3 linked regions of the Mus musculus genome follow. The protein of the gene in region 1 interacts with the protein of each later gene in a pairwise test. Links are inferred from orthologs where the notes say so. Each region holds a gene or a part of one and is shown in the gene's direction. Other genes may lie near its edges.

What was found. The genes of interacting proteins can lie anywhere in the genome.
Region 2: the proteins of Dcx (region 1) and Mid2 interact in binary tests that used the Homo sapiens proteins (3 or more experiments, as listed by UniProt). The two-hybrid records come from large-scale screens. The link is inferred for Mus musculus from reciprocal best matches to the Homo sapiens genes DCX and MID2.
Region 3: the proteins of Dcx (region 1) and Zbtb5 interact in binary tests that used the Homo sapiens proteins (3 or more experiments, as listed by UniProt). The two-hybrid records come from large-scale screens. The link is inferred for Mus musculus from reciprocal best matches to the Homo sapiens genes DCX and ZBTB5.

What each region holds. Positions count from the first base shown.
Region 1 is NC_000086.7:143,929,314-143,935,091, reverse strand, and holds the start of Dcx (neuronal migration protein doublecortin), read left to right. Parts: upstream 1-1,872; 5' UTR 1,873-2,022; exon of another isoform or gene 2,023-2,195; intron 2,196-3,765; 5' UTR 3,766-3,787; coding exon 3,788-4,151; intron 4,152-5,778. UniProt on the Homo sapiens protein: Microtubule-associated protein required for initial steps of neuronal dispersion and cortex lamination during cerebral cortex development. May act by competing with the putative neuronal protein kinase DCLK1 in binding to a target protein.
Region 2 is NC_000086.7:140,662,766-140,668,574, forward strand, and holds the start of Mid2 (probable E3 ubiquitin-protein ligase MID2), read left to right. Parts: upstream 1-2,190; 5' UTR 2,191-2,509; coding exon 2,510-2,513; intron 2,514-5,809. UniProt on the Homo sapiens protein: E3 ubiquitin ligase that plays a role in microtubule stabilization. Mediates the 'Lys-48'-linked polyubiquitination of LRRK2 to drive its localization to microtubules and its proteasomal degradation in neurons.
Region 3 is NC_000070.6:45,008,794-45,014,748, reverse strand, and holds the start of Zbtb5 (zinc finger and BTB domain-containing protein 5), read left to right. Parts: upstream 1-2,336; 5' UTR 2,337-2,525; exon of another isoform or gene 2,526-3,797; intron 3,798-5,955. UniProt on the Homo sapiens protein: May be involved in transcriptional regulation.

The sequences.
Region 1 (5,778 bases):
ACTATGTTTATTTCCATAGCTTTATAATTAATCTTAGTAGTTTAACACTTGATTTAATCGATCAGTCATATTAGCTATAATCCAAGCTTTGTGGTCTTTCATTTCCATTTTACATATTTTGGCAATTTAATAAAAAAATTTTTTGGGCTTTTTCTTGAAATGTATAGATGACGTTCGGGGAAGACTGATATTCTTATCGCCGCACATCTTTGAGTCTTACTGTGAGCATGGGCTGAATCCCTTTCTCCCCATAACCAGTAGCTGCCAGTATCTCCTTAGCACGCTGAAGCTCCTTACCCATCCACAATGGAATGCTGAGGTACTGGTCTTATTCAATTAATAACAGCTACTATGAGTTCATGATCGCTGTGTCCAGAAGAACCCCCCCCTCCCACTTTGCTCCAGCTCTTACATTCTTTCATTTCCTTCTTCAATGATGAGTCCTGAACCTAGGAGAGGATGATAAAATGTCCCACTTAAGGCTGAGCGAGTGTTCAACAGCCACTCATTCTCAGCACATGGACCAGGTATGAGTCTCTTTGTTAACTGTTTACAGCTGCAAACAGACTTTTCTTTGACCATGACTGAGAAACCCTAACCTTTCGCTAATCTTTAATCTATTAGGTAGAAACACAAACATTTAGAAGGTAGTTTGACACCATGTCTATTGAGCCAAACAACAGTAATCAGTTTCTCCCTAGAGCCTATGACCTCCAAAGACATAGTAGCTTTTAACCAGTTGTATAGAACCAGAAGATTCCACTCTACGGACTAGACCTCAATTCCCAATCTTTAAAACACACTTCCCTTCTTAGGTGCTGCTTTCCCTTTTTTGATGTCTACACACACACACACACACACACACACACACACACACACACACACACACACACTATAAGCTAAAGTCCCATATGAAAGAAAGAAAATAAATCCTTTTGTCTCTCTCAGCCTCGGATACTTCACTCAGTATATCATTTTCGGTTCCACACAATTTCTTGCAAATCTCATAATTTCACATTTTACTGATGGGTGATTAAAATCATGCATATATCTTGCATTTTCATTACCCATTCATCTGTTAACAGACATCTGGGCTGTTTCTATTTTCTGGCTTTTGTGAATAGAGCAGCCATAAACACAGATATGCAAGTGTCTCTATGGTAGGTTATAGTCTCCTTTGGGTATATGCCCAGGAGTGGGAAGGTGAAACATTAACCAATGTTTTACATCAGTCTAAAATGTTTTGGAGTCATGCTGGGCCTAGAGACCTAAGTGCTGGCAAATTCTAGTAGCCAAGAAGCAGAACAGAGGCTGAAAATTTTCAGCAAATGAGAGGTCAGCCTGGGCTACACAGCGAGTTCCAGAACAACTATCACTATAAAGCTGGACCCTGACTCGATAAAACAACTGAACAAAAACTTGGAGAAGTGCCACTTTTCAATTCCAGCCTTCATGATTCCTGCAACTATTTTCCCGTGTACTGTCAATTTACTATTCCTGCTGACTTCGTTTAAAAAACAACCAGTGTTGGATGCATGAGCCGAAATGTTAAAAAATTTACATATTTTTTATTTTCTTTGAAGAAGATAAAAAGAGGAGATCTGTAATTTCTAAGAAACTTGATTTGGCCTGCTGAGTCCAGCCACTAGGCAGAAGGTTTTAGCCAAGTAAAATTGCCAATTTTCTAAGAGAAAGGGCTAGCACATTGCTCATTAGAGCATTCTGAGCTTGCCTGTGCAATCTTTTTTTTCCTACCCTGCAATTTCCTGTGCGTTATAAACGAAACCTTTCTAGCTGTTAATGCAGGCTGTGAATTGAAGAAAAAAAAGCATGTAATTAATCATAGGAGGTTGGGGGTGTTCGCTAAGCTTCAGTTACAGGGGAGAAGCTGGACAAGGCACTAGGACCTAGAAGGCAACTATCCACCCTGGCAGGAATTTCTTGCTTGGAGCTCAGACAACAAAGGCATAGAGAGATTGGTTTTCTTTCTCTCAGCATCTCCACCCAACCAGCAGAAAACCGGTGAGTGGGGCTTTCGAGTGATTTTCAAGCAGAATGTAACAGATGTCAACCGGGAAAGCACAAGGCACACGGCTTTCTTTCTCTGTGTGTTCGCCTCTTTCTTCTCTTTTATTTGCCTTATTCTATAGGATTTTTGTCCTCTAAGATTCTACCTGGGATTTTCCTTTGGAAAAGTGAGTTTGTTGTTCCTTTGTTTTCACTATGATGCTAATTTAGAATAATAGCACTTCTGATTCTAAAGCATAGCTTTATTTGCACAGCCTGCCTGGGGAAAATGCTTGCTACTCATCTTGAGGAGGTGGGCTCTTACTACTGCAGGTTGTCTGACAGAGACAATGCTGAGCTCAGCATAGGTCATGGTGACACTGGAAAAAAAGGGGGTACTGAGCCTGGCAAATATACCAACTACCAGTCCTCCTTTATCTCCTTTCTCCCTGGTTTCTTGCAAATCTCGATGTGGCAGTATATATATAGCAGCTGAGCCCTCTTGCTTTGTGAGTCTTTTTCCCCCCATTTGTGAGATGAATGTTAATAGTTTGGTTTCTTGGATGTCACATTACCTTTGTAAGGGGTTAGGGCTTTGGTTGTATTATTGGGTTGCATGTTTTCATTGTTTTGGACGTTTTTTTTTCTGGTGGGGGACGGGTTCAGGGGGGTTGAAATCCAAGCTTGACAGATGACTTTTTTTTTCCCTCCATCAATACACCTAAGCAATAGACAAGTTTGAAGTGAATTGCCTGCTTCGAGGGCAAAATATTCCTTCAGTCAGGGGAGAAACCCAGAACAATGAAAGGTGTACCTACTTGGAAAGGTCCCATGTGCTATTCAGGGACCCATTTGGGAATCTTTCCACAATTATTCCATTAAGAGGTGTTGCTGCATTCATTGGTCGGGGAGGGGATGAAACACCTGAAAGGAGAAAAAGGATTCTGTGATCAAATGGAAATGAAAGGGAAGCAGAGCTAATAGCTTGCTAAATAACTGGGTTTTTTCGACAATCCCTCCCCCTTTTAGACCCCAGCTTATTTCTTATGGATGCCGTATAGCGGCACCAGCTTGATGGGGAGAGGGTTTGATGAATAGCACAAAGGCACTGGGTATTCCCTGGAGGCTGTCCCTTTAAAAGAGAATCCTAGTTTATTCTGGGGGAGGGGATACACATATTAGAGCAGGCAAAAAAGGACAAGGAATAAAAGTAATTCACCCCCTTCCTAGCCATTGTATTGAGATGCAAAGGCTGCTTCCTACAGGAGGGTGCTAACCTTGGCTAGCTCCCTCTGTTTCTCTTTGAGGGAATTTAGTCAGGCTATGGATTCATTTACAACTGTTAGTCATGTGGCCATGTGTGAAGGAGCAGATGCCAGTTTTAATGTATTTTGCCCGAAGTTACAATTTGATAGGAGCCACTGTCAGGAAGCTCCAGGTTTTTAAGCTATTTCAACACGCCCTCCCCAAATTGGAACAGTGCCAAAAGTGCCACCCTTTCTATCTCTTCCTCCTATCCCCCTCCCCACCATTCAGTCCTCAGCCTACTGCCCAGCCCCCTCCTTCTTCTCTATTAAGATCAATATTCCTGCAGGTCAGGGACAAGCAGCAGATGGGTCACAGGCTTTTTTCAACCAGTTCTTTTCACAGGCAGCAGATTGCAGCTCTGGATCTGGCTAATATTTTAATTCTCCCCCCTCCCTTATCCATCCTTATTCTTTGCCTCTCCTTATCTCCACCCTTTTCTCTAACAATCAGGTTGCTGTGGTTCCACCAAAATATGGAACTTGATTTTGGACATTTTGACGAACGAGACAAAGCATCTAGAAATATGAGAGGGTCACGGATGAATGGACTTCCAAGTCCCACTCATAGTGCCCACTGTAGCTTCTACAGAACCAGAACCTTGCAGGCATTAAGTAATGAGAAGAAGGCCAAGAAGGTACGTTTCTACCGCAATGGGGACCGTTACTTCAAGGGGATTGTGTACGCTGTTTCTTCTGACCGTTTTCGTAGTTTTGATGCGTTGCTGGCTGACCTGACCCGATCCTTGTCTGACAACATTAACCTGCCTCAGGGAGTGCGCTACATTTATACCATTGACGGATCCAGGAAGATTGGAAGCATGGATGAACTGGAAGAAGGTAATTCAAGTAGTGAGTAGTGGGGTGGTGGCCCCTAGAGGGAAAGGACATCCTCGCTTATGGTTACATTTTTAGTCTTCCTTGAAAGAAACTAGGCTATTTGTTTGCTAAAACATCAAGTTGACTGATGCTCAGGCTTCTGATCCCAAAGTCACCACCAGGATCCTTAACTGTCATTCCTCATGGGGTTCCATCTCTGCTGAGGTTGACATGAATATGGGTTTTCTAATGCTAAATGTGCTTATCTACCTGGGTATACAAAGGAAACTCTGAATTGTGACACTCACTCTAGGTGTTGTTTATGGGTAACTCTGTATAGCACCTTCAAAGCAGGCCATGAAACCATTAGGGGAAAGAAGAATGTATGGTTGGTTTAACAGATAAAAAAATGTGCCCAAGTGTCCTATGGACTACTGATAAATTATTTGGGAATTGCCATTCATTAGAAATACGTACCCCAATGTAGGAATTCCTAGATGTGTTCACAGAGGATTAGACTTTTAGGTAAGTGGTTGCGGCTCAGCTGTTGCTTTGGAAAAAACTCACTTAAGGGCGTGTCCATGAGGCTGAGATCATTGGGAGAGATACGAAAGAAAGCTGTAGGTATGTCTGGTATTTTAATGAACACCATTTCTATTAAAGTAGGAATGAGTCACTCTGCCTAAATCCTTTCAGATCATCTCTAGACTTTGGAATTGCTACTGAATTTTGTGTGTTAACCACTGGAAACCATGTAATAACAGAAAAATTCCAGATTTTCCACACAACTTGTTCAACCATCTTATCTTTTCTTAATGGATATTTGGAAAATAGATTTGGGGTCATAGTGTTAATATTTTATGCTGCCATATAAATTATCTTGATCAGTTTAACCCATATGTACTGTAAAGGATAGCTTCAAGGAAAGAGAAACAGCACATTTGGTGACTTAGCAGAGTACCCCAGCTTTTAGGCTTCCTATGCTACTAGACAAAGGAACATAAAGGTTTCCCTTATGCAACATACTAGTTCCCTCATGTAGTTGTTGTTTTCAAAGCACCTGTGTAACATGGTTTGGTCAGGCACCTTATAAGACACAATGTTCACATAGTGGTTCTTTCTGAGTCTCAGGGTTCAAGTCTAAGAGCTTTCTACATAGATGACCTTGAATATCTATGTGGAAAAGGCTTAGACAATTTGATCACATACAAACTTGGTGTGCAAACATTAATTGTAGACTTTCCCAATTATCAAAGAATTAATCATTTTAGTGCACATCTTTAAGTGAAAGAAGGCCAGTTGGGGTCAACTTCAAATCTGGGCGGCTCAGTTGAGGGAGCTGTCCAACAGTGTGATCAATAAGGTATGCATCTTTCTATGAAATATATATCTTAGTCAAAGTTGAGGGATTTCTCTATAATATCTTTTACAAACAAAGCACACTGAATGTCCAAGATTTTCTTAATTTCCATCATCTGTGAACATCTGAAGGCCACAACGCATGCTAGGTCAGAATTCTGAACCAACTGAAATGGTATTCTGAGAAAGAGTTATTATATTTAATAACAGTGTTTTGCACAATTTCCCTCATTTCTTTACACTTGCCCCAATTATTGTGTATATGTATGCATGTATGTGTGTGTATTGA
Region 2 (5,809 bases), about 3.3 Mb from region 1:
CCTTACTGTGAGGCAAGTTCCTTTACAGTCCCATCATGGTGTTCTGCTTCCCCATAGCATCAGAATCAATAGGACCAGTGACTACAGACTGAAAACTCTGAAATCATAATCCAAAATAAATCTTTCCTCCTAAGTAGTTTCTCAGATTTTCATCACAGTAGCAGAAAGTTAACATTGTTTCCTTCCTATTCCTGTCCTCCAGATAACCAGTGCAATCAACTTTAGAGGTATCTTTACTGAGAATACTTATTTGTCCACAAATATCCCTACGTCCCTTTTCACACTACTAGACGTATCGCCCTTAGTTTCCTAGTTACTAAACAACCTGGGTCTCTCCGCAGGCAGACTGACTCCAAATAAATGTAAATATAGATGCACACACATAAAATATACATATATAATTATTTCTAATATTTGTGTGGTGAATTTGCCCAGCAAATCAGCAGATTTCTGACTCATGAACTTAAAAGAAATCAAGTGTTTTATTGAGTCAAAGGTCCTATGGTAGAGAATTTACCCATCTGACCTTGTCCAAGAATACAGTATAATCCTGTTAACCAAATACAACACATCTCCACTGTTTTATTTCCCATTTTCCTGATGATTAGTCACATTAAATATCTTATTATCTGCTATTTTTCTATTTTTGAAAAATACCCATTTAAGTTCTCTGCCCCTTTTAAAACACATATTCTAGACAGTAAGTCCTTATCATGCATATATGGTTTTAAAACATTTTCTCCCATTCCCAATGTGTCGGTTGTGTACTCTGCTGTGTAGGTGTTGGTGCTATGTAGTCTCATTTGTTTGGTTTTGCTCTTGTTGTCTGTGCTTTGGATATGACACATTAACTTTTACATCTCTTGGTGCTGTACTTCCTTTTAGGTAATGTGGTTGGGTTTTTCCCTTCATTTCCACTCCAGTGTTCTCTAGCAGGTTTGTTTAACAGTGCTGTTGGCTGACTGCTATTGGTTCCCTGATAAGACACACCCATCTACCTTCATTTTTTTTTCTGGATTTGTTCCCAAGCACAGTAATGGGAGGCCCATGTGAGAGGGGCTGTTTCGGATTGCTTTATTCCTTCCTCATTTTGAGTGGAGCTAGAAAGAATATCCTCTGAGGTGGCTTCCTTCTCTCATCTACCTTTTAAGTGTGTGTGTGTGTGTGTGTGTGTGTGTGTGTGTGTGTGTGTTGGGGGGAGGTGGTAGTCTTTGAGCCAGTGATAGGTTAAAAGACAGGCTGTATCCAGACCAATGGGAGGCTCCTGGCTTCCAAATGGATCTTATTAGGGACATTGTATTCTGGATGGCTAGCATCTGCCTCATTGTCCTCTTGGCAGTGACCCTTTTGTATTGGTCAAGGATCTGAAGGTGCAAAAGAAACCTTACCCCATACACTTTTAGTGGCTTTAATCCACCTGAACAACTTGTGCCCAAGTCCAATAGAACATTGCCATTCTCCCTTTGTCAAAAGAAAAAGGGGTTGGGTTTCCTTCAATTGTCTGCCCTTCTCTGTCTCCTCCACTATTTTTGTTTTACTCTCTAGTTAACTTTGCATACAACAGCTTCACCAGTAGGACCTGTGAGGAGGATCCAGGCACACTCTTTTCATTGGCGAGTGCAACAGCCTTCTCCTTGCTCTCATCTGGGGGTTTGTGGATGTAGAAGGGAGGTAGGTGGGTGAAGAGTTTGGCCACAGTCTTCCTTCTGCGCTTCACACACACCACCCGGTCGTGGACGCGCAAACACACACACACACACACACACACACACACACACACACACACACACGCTCGTGCGCGCCTGCTCAGGCCCCTTCTCCCTGTGTCTTCCATCAAGATGACAGGGTGCTGGAGAAAAGGCTGCTGGAATCAGCTGGTAGGTACAGTAGTAATCTGAACCCCACCCACCCACTGCCTTTGCTTGCTCGGGTTTCTCTGGTCACTCCTGCCAGGGGAGAAAACATGTAAGCGCGCCTCCAGAGGAGGGGCACGGGGAGTTGGGAGTGGCGGGGGCGGCGGAAGGTGAGCCTAGGAAGGTGGCCCAGCGCCCCTTCTGCCCGGCCCCTCCCCGTGCTCCCGTAGGGTGTCAGCCTCGGCTCTGCTTGCCCCCACTCCACCCTCCTTTCGAAGGGATTGCCTTTTTTTTCCCTCTGCTGCGGCGGAAATGACAGTGTGGTGCTGCGGTGGTGTCATGGTGCTGCCTCTGGACCGAGAGGCGAAAACTCTTTAAGTTTAGCCCGGGAGACCTAGACGCGGGAACGTCGCGGTCTCCGTGCTGTCCCCCGTGGGGCGCGCGGGCTGGCGGATCCCGGCTGTTGCGCGGCGGCGGCGGCGGCCGCAGCGGCGAAGGCGGGCGGCGGCCTAGAGTGGTGGTGGCGGCGGCGGCGGCGGCAGCAGCGACAGCGGCCCGGGAGCTTGCACGGGAGCCCGAGCCAGCTTGCTGCGGAGGCCGGCGAGCGCCCGGCGCTCCCCGGCGCGCGTAGGAGATGGCTGGCACCCGGGAACAATATGGGTAAAACGCGTCCCCTCGCCGAGGCCCGGGGGGATGGTGGTGGTGGTGGGGTGGCTAGTGTCGCCGCCCGCGCCGGGCTTGGCCCTGGCTGGCTCCTGCTGCTCTTCAGGTGCCGCCGGGGCTGGAACTGGCCGAGGACACTTGGGCTTGGGGGGGGGGGCGGCAAGAGGGGGGAGACGGGGTCCTGGCGGCAATGGCAGGGCCCCGGTTGTCTGTCACACTGTTGTGACCCGAGCTCCTGCCGCTGCCCTCCTGGGAAGGAGTTTGCACTCCTAGATCCCAGGCTGGGGACCGGCCCGAGGCCTCCCGCTTGGCCAGGCCGAGCAGGGAGAAAGCAGTGGAGCGGCTCAGCTCTCGTGGCGCCTAGGCGCAAGTCTGGGAAAGGGCGCAGCCGCCTTCCCACGCTCCCGAAATCCACGGCGTCCTCGGCCCGGGCGGCGCCCCGAGGTCGGCGGTTGGCTCAGTGGTGCTGGCGCAGCAGCCTGAGATTCTGTGGACACCCTGCGAGCGGGAACCCCGGGAGAAACTTAATTCTCCCTCCCCTTTTCCTCCCTGCTGGGGAAACGATCTTCAGGTCTCTGTCTGGGTGGTTCTTTATTTCTGGCCTAGCTGTGAAAGCAGCCCCGTGGGGGGGGGGGGGGTGGAGAGGGAAAAACTTGAGTGTGTCCATAGGACACACTGCGACTGAAGCAGGGACAGGGGAGCCTTTTCCATTCCGGGCTCATAAAAATTACTGGAACATTACTGGTTATGAGCTGGCTTGGGTTGTTTCGCACTTCACGTGCAGCATAGTATTTATTTATTTAGGAGGCATTTCGATTTAGAGGAGGAAATTAGGATCCAGGGATTGTTGGACTCTTCACTTTCCCCACTCTTCCACACTCCTTAGGTACTGTCTCTATTCAAGCCCCCACATCTCCCACCAGAGTTCCTGCACTCTCAGCTTTTCTCTGTCAACCTGTGCAATGCGGCTTCTTGCTTTTCAATCACTTTGATTTTTTTTGAAGATTTTGGAGGGTGGGGCTGCTGAATGGCATTAGTTGTGTGTCTGTCTCTAAGGAGGAGTATTTATGAAGCAAGACATTGGAAACTGTAATAGTACACAACTATTGTGTGGGGATTAATTAATCTGATTCTCGAATTGGACCACAAGAGTTGACTTTAATCCCATTCCATTTCCTCTCTGAAATCGAATCAGATCTCTGACACTATTCCAATAGAAGATGGAGTTGCTAAATGGAGAGTTTACATTCTTGCTCACTTCTGCTTGGGGAGCTTTTGCTGTACCCTAGATTCCTATCCCAGCATCCCCACCTTTTTTTAACCTCCTCCTCTCTGCTCATCACTGCCCCAAGGGAGAATCAATCTTTGCTATTTTTATATATTCCTGCTCAATCAATTAGCTTAACACAGACTCATAATATGAATTAGATTTCTCGTGATTGTTCCTTACAAAACTCGTTTCATGTGGTTGAAACACAAGCCTGGAAGCCAAGAAGATCAGAGAGTTCATTCCAGATGTGACGTTGCATTGGCTTTAAGGCCTTTAGACATTTGTATGACCTCTCTTTCACAGTTGCTTCACTTGCATAAAAGGCATAATATTGTGTACTGGGTATTGTGAGTATTGGCTTGGTCCTTTGAAGATAAAAGGATTCTATAAACCTCAGCATTATACTCTTCAATGAAAGCACTTCATTTATCCTTTATTGGGTTACTGGATTGACTGGGTATAAATGGGAACACTAATTTACAGGAACCCTAATTTGCCATTATTAGTTCCCTTGAGATTCAAATTATCATTGTAATTTAGATCTTAAGTCAATTTGTTTCATGAATGTATATGCAACTGAATGGAAACATATATACAATTAGGCATAGAAAGTAATGGTGATGATTTTAAGTCGAGTCATAAATCATATTGATTACACTTTACCCTAACAATGTGAGTCAGACTCATTTGAATATTCAACCTCACCCATTTTTTTAGTCTACATGGGGGGAGTTAGTTAATGACCAATAAAAGTAATATAGATACATTTAGGTCTGGCTATATAAGCAAAATTAGCACCTAGCAGCAGTGAGTCAATATTTTTCAAAGCACCTTTAATGTACAGAAGCCTCTGCTGTCTGTGTTGAGTGAGGACCTGCCCTTGACCCAGTATTTTGGGCTCATATTTGCCCTATGCTAAACTCTACTTACAGTTCCATGGCTCCATGGCTAGGATGCAGTCAGGGTGGGTGATGTGTGGAGTAGGGAGAGAGGGTTATGGCACATGAAGAGCTGTCTCTCCTATTTACTTTCATGACTACTGGGATTCCTGCTTAGCATGTTGTACCTTGCAAGACCACTTCTGAGAGGCACTTGCTGCAAATGAGTGGCTTGGTTGCTTCACAAACATATCATCTGAACAGCGCAAATTGACTTAGATAAAATTGGTTTGGTTAATCCCTCCTCTAAAAACAGGGCAACTTGCTCCAACCTGCAGGTCTTAAAATAGTGCCAGTGGAGTGTCATAATTGCATCCAAGCAGTGTCCTGAGTGGTGAGCCTTTCCATTCTCTCCTCCCATAAAACCTGCTGACACCACAATTAGGAAGGAAACTACAGAAGAATGCATTTTGAATCATTGGCTTGATGAAGAGTGAAGAATATTGTCTCTGGTTGTCAGGTTTTCCTTAGAAGTAGACTTTCTCTTCCTTAACATGGATGTAGAGCCCCTAAAGACAAAGACAGGGATGCGGCACACAGTTAAGTCTCAGATGGCAGTTTTTAGCGATAACTACTTGACTGTCATTCGGTCTTTATACAGCTTGCTAAATTTCTAGATGTTAGCAATGGGACTCAGCTGCTAGAGGAGGCCCGAGGGTGTCTGAGGGTGCTCCAAGTCCATTTAGTATTGACTTTTTGTCCTGTCTTCTGTGCAAAAGAAAGCTGTGTCTCTGACACGCCTCCTTAAGCAGAGGGTCCTGACTCGACACACTCTATCATTAAAGTATGAGGTATGACATGTTTATGATGGATAGAATAAGACACTCACTTAAATTTTTACAGTTATTTATTTGTGTGAATGTGCGTGCATATGAGCATGCATGTGTGCCATAGAATACAAGCAGAGATTAGAGGAAAACTTGTGGAAATCTACACTTTTCTTCCACTGCATCAGTGTTTTGGATCAAACTCCAGCCACCAGTCTTGGTTGTCAGCAAGTTTACTCGCTGAGCAGTTTCACTAGCCCTAAATATAGTCACTTTTTTGAAAATTGGATACAAAGTATGATATTGTACTGTGTGTAT
Region 3 (5,955 bases), on another chromosome or scaffold:
CTTGCTGTGAAAGATTAGCAACTGAGCTCAACCCCTATAAACATCAAAGCGGAGACAGAAACAACTGCAGCAAGCTTTTCTCTATGTGCTGAGGCACCTGCATGCATGCACATGTGCACATACACACACGTACAACAATAACAGTAATAAATGAAACATGGCAAAAAAATTTAAAATAAAAACAAAGAGCTAGGCGGTGGTGGCACACGCCTTTGATCCCAGCACTCGGGAGGCAGAAGCATGCAGATTTCTGAGTTTGAGGCCAGCCTGGTCTACAAAGTGAGTTCCAGGACAGCCAGGGCTATACAGAGAAACCCTGTCTCAAAAAACAAAAACAAAAACAACAAAAAAAAGAATCAGTGCTTTATATTAAATCTTGTTAAACATATAAGTGTTCTCATTTTCATGACATTTATTAAATCATTAAAACAATTACCAAAATAACACATATTGGATGTATACTAGTATAAAACACAGAAACTATGGATAATAAAATTGTAGTAACCCATAATCTCACATCCCTTTAAGAGAGCCATTGCTAACATTCTGTTTCATCTCTTGGGTTTATCTCTGTGCATATGCACTTTTTCTTCTTTAACAGGGTCTTACTATATAATCCTGCTTGGTCTGTAACACATTGTGTAGACCAGGCTGGTCTCAAACTCAAACTCATAGTGGTCCATCTGCTTCTGCCTCCCAGTACTGGGATAAAATGTGTGAGCTACCACACCAGGTTCTATTTTTGTGTAATTATTATTCTACTGTATTCGGCTCTGTATGCTCTCTTAAAAAACATTTTGTAGTGGGAGTGGATGGTAGAAAAGGGAGAGAATGTCAGGAGCTAAAGGGTTAATCTGGAAAGGAAACTGGGATGAGGGAAAGGGGAGGGTATTGAGGGCATCCTCTTCCCCATTTTAACTGGTCAATAAAGGCTGAGGCCTGTAATTGGGCAGGGGAGGGGAGAGGTGGGAGGTCTTGGAGAGTAGGGACAGGTAGAGAGGAGAAGGGAAGGGGAGAGGACTGAAGAAGAGGAGGAGCAGAACCACGTGGCCAGGAGAAACTGCAAATAGCAAAGGGTCTCGCAGCTGGGGAATAAGTTAGCACAGTGCTAGAGCTGTCCAGTCTAGGTACATAGCTTATATTTATAACTGGATTGTGTGGTTTTTATATGGGTTTATTGGGGTTGGGAACTGGTGCAAACTAAGGATGGATGAAGCCCTAGGAAACCCTATTAGCTTGTGAACCAACTAAGAATTTTATACTATCCTTCACTTGGGAAAAGGGATTGCTTGCTTATTAATTGACTTAGTAGGGCTCATCCCTTGTGGCCTGTCCATTCTCACGCAGGCGTGAACTGAGCACAAGGACAGCTGAGCCCAAGCCAGGAGGTAGCTTTAGTCTACGGTTTGTTTGAATTCTTCCCAGGACTTTCCGAAACCATGGTGATAAGCCCAGTAAACACTTCCTCTTCCAAACTGCTTTGTTCAGTTTTATCAAAGTAACAGGAAAGCTATCTAGAACACATAATCTTGATTTTACTGCTCGGTGGTATACCGCAAGAGGCCAAGGCGGCAGCCGGGCCTTCCTCTTTCCCACCCGGTCCAGCAGACTCTTTTGCGGCATTGATAAGAGGGCTGAGCCCTGAAGTTTTAAGGTGGTGGCGACTGTAAACTTGATTCTGGAGTTGATGGCTTGGTGGGCACACGTCGGACTGAGTTCCGACCCTCCCGTTGCTATGCTGGACGTCTGGGCAACTGAGACGCGATGCGGGCGACGATCCACCCAACCACCATTAGACCGACGGCATTTCCTACTCATTGTGAAGCTCGCCATTCGTCTCACTCGGCTTCTTGGGGTTCCGTTTACATCTTTTCTCAAACCTACAAGTTAGAAGTAATCTCCAGCTCACAGCGAGAGGAAGTCACCTGTCCTTCAGACTCCAGGTCACAGTCAGCGCGAGCCAATGGAGGGACTCAGGGCTGGCAGTAGTCATTGCGATTGGCTCAAGTAGACGGAAAACACTAGCTTTCCTTATTCATGCTGAGTTCTGATTGGGCGTGACATAAAATAGCTTTTCTACAGGCCAAACCTGGTGTTGCTAAGTGATAAGTCCCGCCTTCAAAGATCTTTGAGAACAGTTTTACGGGCTGTAAGGCAAATTGTGATTGGTCAGAGCGCTCACGGATGCTGTGGTAGTAAACACAGCCGGGGTCCTGGGATGGCGGATTGGTCAGATTTTCAGAACGTCACTCCTACTGTGGCCCCGCCCTCCTGATGATTGGCCATTGGAGGCCTGTGGAGGCGGTGACATGGGTACCTCACATCCGTTTACTGTAGGCCTCCGCCGGGTCCTCAAAGAACCGCGCGAACGGGCTGAAGGAGCCGGGAGCGAGGGGCGGGGCGGGCGGAAGTCACAGCCGGGGAAGCCAGTCTGGACCTTCCCGCCTCCTTCCTCAGGGTCGGTCCGAGCGGAGGAGGGCCACCGCCTCCTCCTGCGAGGAGAAGGGGGGCGGAGCCCGGCTCAGGTGAGGCGACCCTATCAGCTAGAGTGGCCTGGGCGCGCGCGCGCGGGGCGCGCTCACGTGCAGGCGGTTGTGCACCGGGAGCGCGCCGAGGCATCGGGGAGCGCGCAGCCGTTCCGGGGCCGCCTGTCCACCCTGTCTTACTGCTGAGGGGTATTGTTACCCTTCGCCTCGGTGGGGCCAGGAGGGTGGTAGCTCAGTTCTTGTGCGCAGGCGTCCCCTGTGTCCCGACGCCCGGCTGTCGGTGCGGGGTGGGCAGGGACTAGTGCCCTGCAGATCTGCTGCTGGACATGGAGCCTCTCGGGATGCTGTGGGAACCCGCGCTCGGGATCTGCATCCTAGCGGGATGAGCCGAGGAGCGGCTGCCCTGCGGGATGGAGGCGAGTGGCTCTCTTGATCCTGCCCTGGGTCCTCCTGAGCGATGAGGTTTCGTTTCATCAGAGCAAGGCCATAAGCTGTCTGGATTCGGGAGCCAGCGGCCGACGACAGGGGTGGAGTCAGCGTTTGGGAATGCCCCAACTTGTTAGACAAAAGTGTTTAGTAGGCATTTATTGAATGGCCACTTCTTCCAGGCTTCGTGCGAGGAGCTGTGGGGTGCGGTGGTAAGAGACAGCGGTCCCATCTTCCCCTGGAGGACCGACTGCTTAGCACATAAACAACAGTAGAAATAAGGGAGCGGTTTAAGGGTTTCTGCTTTGTTTTGTTTTTCTAAAGTGCCACTTACTATGGTCAGTCTGCGTCCGAGCATCGTGGCGAACACTGTAGGAACCACATTTTGGTTATTTTTATTTTTGGAGGAAAATTTTTGGGTCAAAGACTCTTGATTACCTTAGTAGCGTGATCTGAGTCTAGGTAATTAAAATTAATAAAATTCGCAATTTTCAAGGACTGAAAGAAAAACATTTCCAAAATATGTTCTTGTACTGCTGAGTTGAATTTACATACATTTAGGTTTTTAGAGATTGAAGGGAATACTGTGCCTTACTCGTTCGTGATTTGTCTTTGTATGACATGTGTACTTTATATGGTTTTAAAAAGTGGACCGGGCACTTCGTTAGTTTGCTAGAGATTTTTGCTTTCATTTTCTGAAAAGTCTCGTGGTTGGCAGTAAGCTAAAGGCTTACTGGGTAGGGGAAAGGAGATGGGCAAAAGAGAGTGTTAAGAGAAAAGCTTGCAAGCTAAAGGAAGGCCACTTTAACCCTTCTGGAAATCTCAGCGAGCTTGGGAAGAGGAGAGACAGAGCTGGCCTCTGCTGCAGCCTTGGTGACCCGCCAGGTAAGGTCAATAGATCGAGGGCTCATTCTGGGCACTGGGGTTTTGCTAAGTAAATGGAAGTAGGACTTTGTGAGAAGTCTGTTTTCGGAAGATTTGCTTTTTTTTCCCCCTTCCCTAAAAGTTGGGTGAAAACAAAACTTTTTTTTTGTCTGCTGGGGTGCTGGCCGTTTTTTATTCTAGATGTGTTTCCAGCAGAATTCTGCTGAATTGATGAGTAATGAGATTTTGGGGAAAAGCATTTTAAAGAAGGGGTGTTTCCCTAATTTTAAGGGTCAGTGTGTTCAGAAGAGACTACTCTAGACTATCCAATTAGAATTAAATTTAATTAGAATTTTTTAAAAAATTATTTGGACAGCAAAATGCACTTTTTAGTATTTAAAGTTCTTAACATTAGTTCCATCCTATTAAAAATCCTGTGCTGAGTGAGCGGCAGACGGTGCCTCCGTGCTGATAGACTCCTGAGTCAGCCTCCAGTTTTCCTAAGAAAGGGGGAAAAAAAGAACCCAAAATACAGCTTCCATGTTAACTTGCAACTCAGCTGATTTCTCAGAATGTAAATTAGCTGTAAATGCGTTTTCCTTGTGTTAGTTGTGAGCATGTGTGCTGACTGCACCTGCCCTTTATTAACAGGGATGCTATCTGCTGACTCCCTCGGTGTGGCAGGTGGGATGGGGTGCGAGCAGCACCACACTGTCTGTCTAAGGTGACTTCCTATGCTTAAAGACCAGACGCTTAGAATTCCTGCTCCTTACTGTTTCCTGGGCATGCCTTGGGGTTTTAGGTATCGTTCTTGTGGCTAAAAAGTTTTTATTATGGCAACTGGAGAGATGGCTCAGTGGTTAAGGGCAGTACCTGGTCTTCTTTTGATGCCAGCACCCACATGGTAGCTCACATTTGTAACTCCAGTCCCAAGGGATCTCACACCTCTTCTGGCCTCCCCATGCACATGGTGCATAGACAGACTTGCAGGCAGCTGAACGACCAAGCCAGCTCAGTCAGTCGGCGAGGCTGAAGCGGCTTTATCTTTTTCCCAGCCTGCTTTTATATCATTCTAGGCTCATCCAGACACATGGTCAGTTCTTAGATCAAAGACAAAGGAATAAAGCGAAGTAGTAAGCAAAGAGATCACGCAAGGTGGTAATCAAGCAAAGCAGTCAGCAAAGCCCCATGGTCACTGTTTCTGATATTCTTATCTGAGCCTACTTCCTGGTCGGATCCCAGTGAAAAATGCCAAAGTCCTAGAAGTGGCACCAAAAGATCTCAACAACTGAAGGAAATGTTTTCAAAAGCTTTTGTTACTGGCCCAAACAGACTAGGAATTATGTTGGAGTACTGACTTGATTGTAACATAGAAAAGATGATAGGATCTTAGTATTCCAGTTTATTTTATCTGTAGATAACTTTCCTTTTGATCTCCTATCATACTTGAATACGTTATGGTTCTAGTAGTTCAATTCTAAAACTTAAGTTTAAAAAGTAATTTGTTAGCTGGGCGTGGTGGCACACGCCTTTAATCCCAGCACTCAGGAGGCAGAGGCAGGCAGATTTCTGAGTTCGAGGCCAGCCTGGTCTACAGAGTGAGCTCCAGGACAGCCAGGGCTATACAGAGAAACCCTGTCTCAAAAAAACCAAAACAAAAAAAGTAATTTGTTTATATTTATGATGGTTTGTATATTTTCGGACCAGGGAGTGGCACCATCTGGAGGTGTGGCCTGGTTGGAGTAGGTGTGTCACTGTGGGTGTGGGCTTAAGACTCTCATCCTAGTTGCCTGGAAGTCAGTCTTCCACTAGCAGCTTTTGAATGAAGACATAGAACTCTCAGCTCCTCCTGCGCCATGCCTGCCTGGATACTGCCATGCTCCCACCTTGATGATAATGGACTGAACCTCTGAACCTGTAAGCCAGCCCCAATTAAATGTTGTTTTTTATAAGACTTGCCTTGGTCATGGTGTCTGTTCACAGCAGTAAAACCCTAAGACAGAAGTTGGTAACAGGAGTGGGGTATTGCTGTGATAGGGCTGACCATGCTTTTATTTGAAAGAATGTGGATTTTGGGACTTTGGATTTGGAACACAGTGGACTGCTTTAAATGGGGCTTAATGGGTCATCCTAGTAGGAATATGGAAGACTTTGTTGCTGGGAGTAATTTGAACTGTGT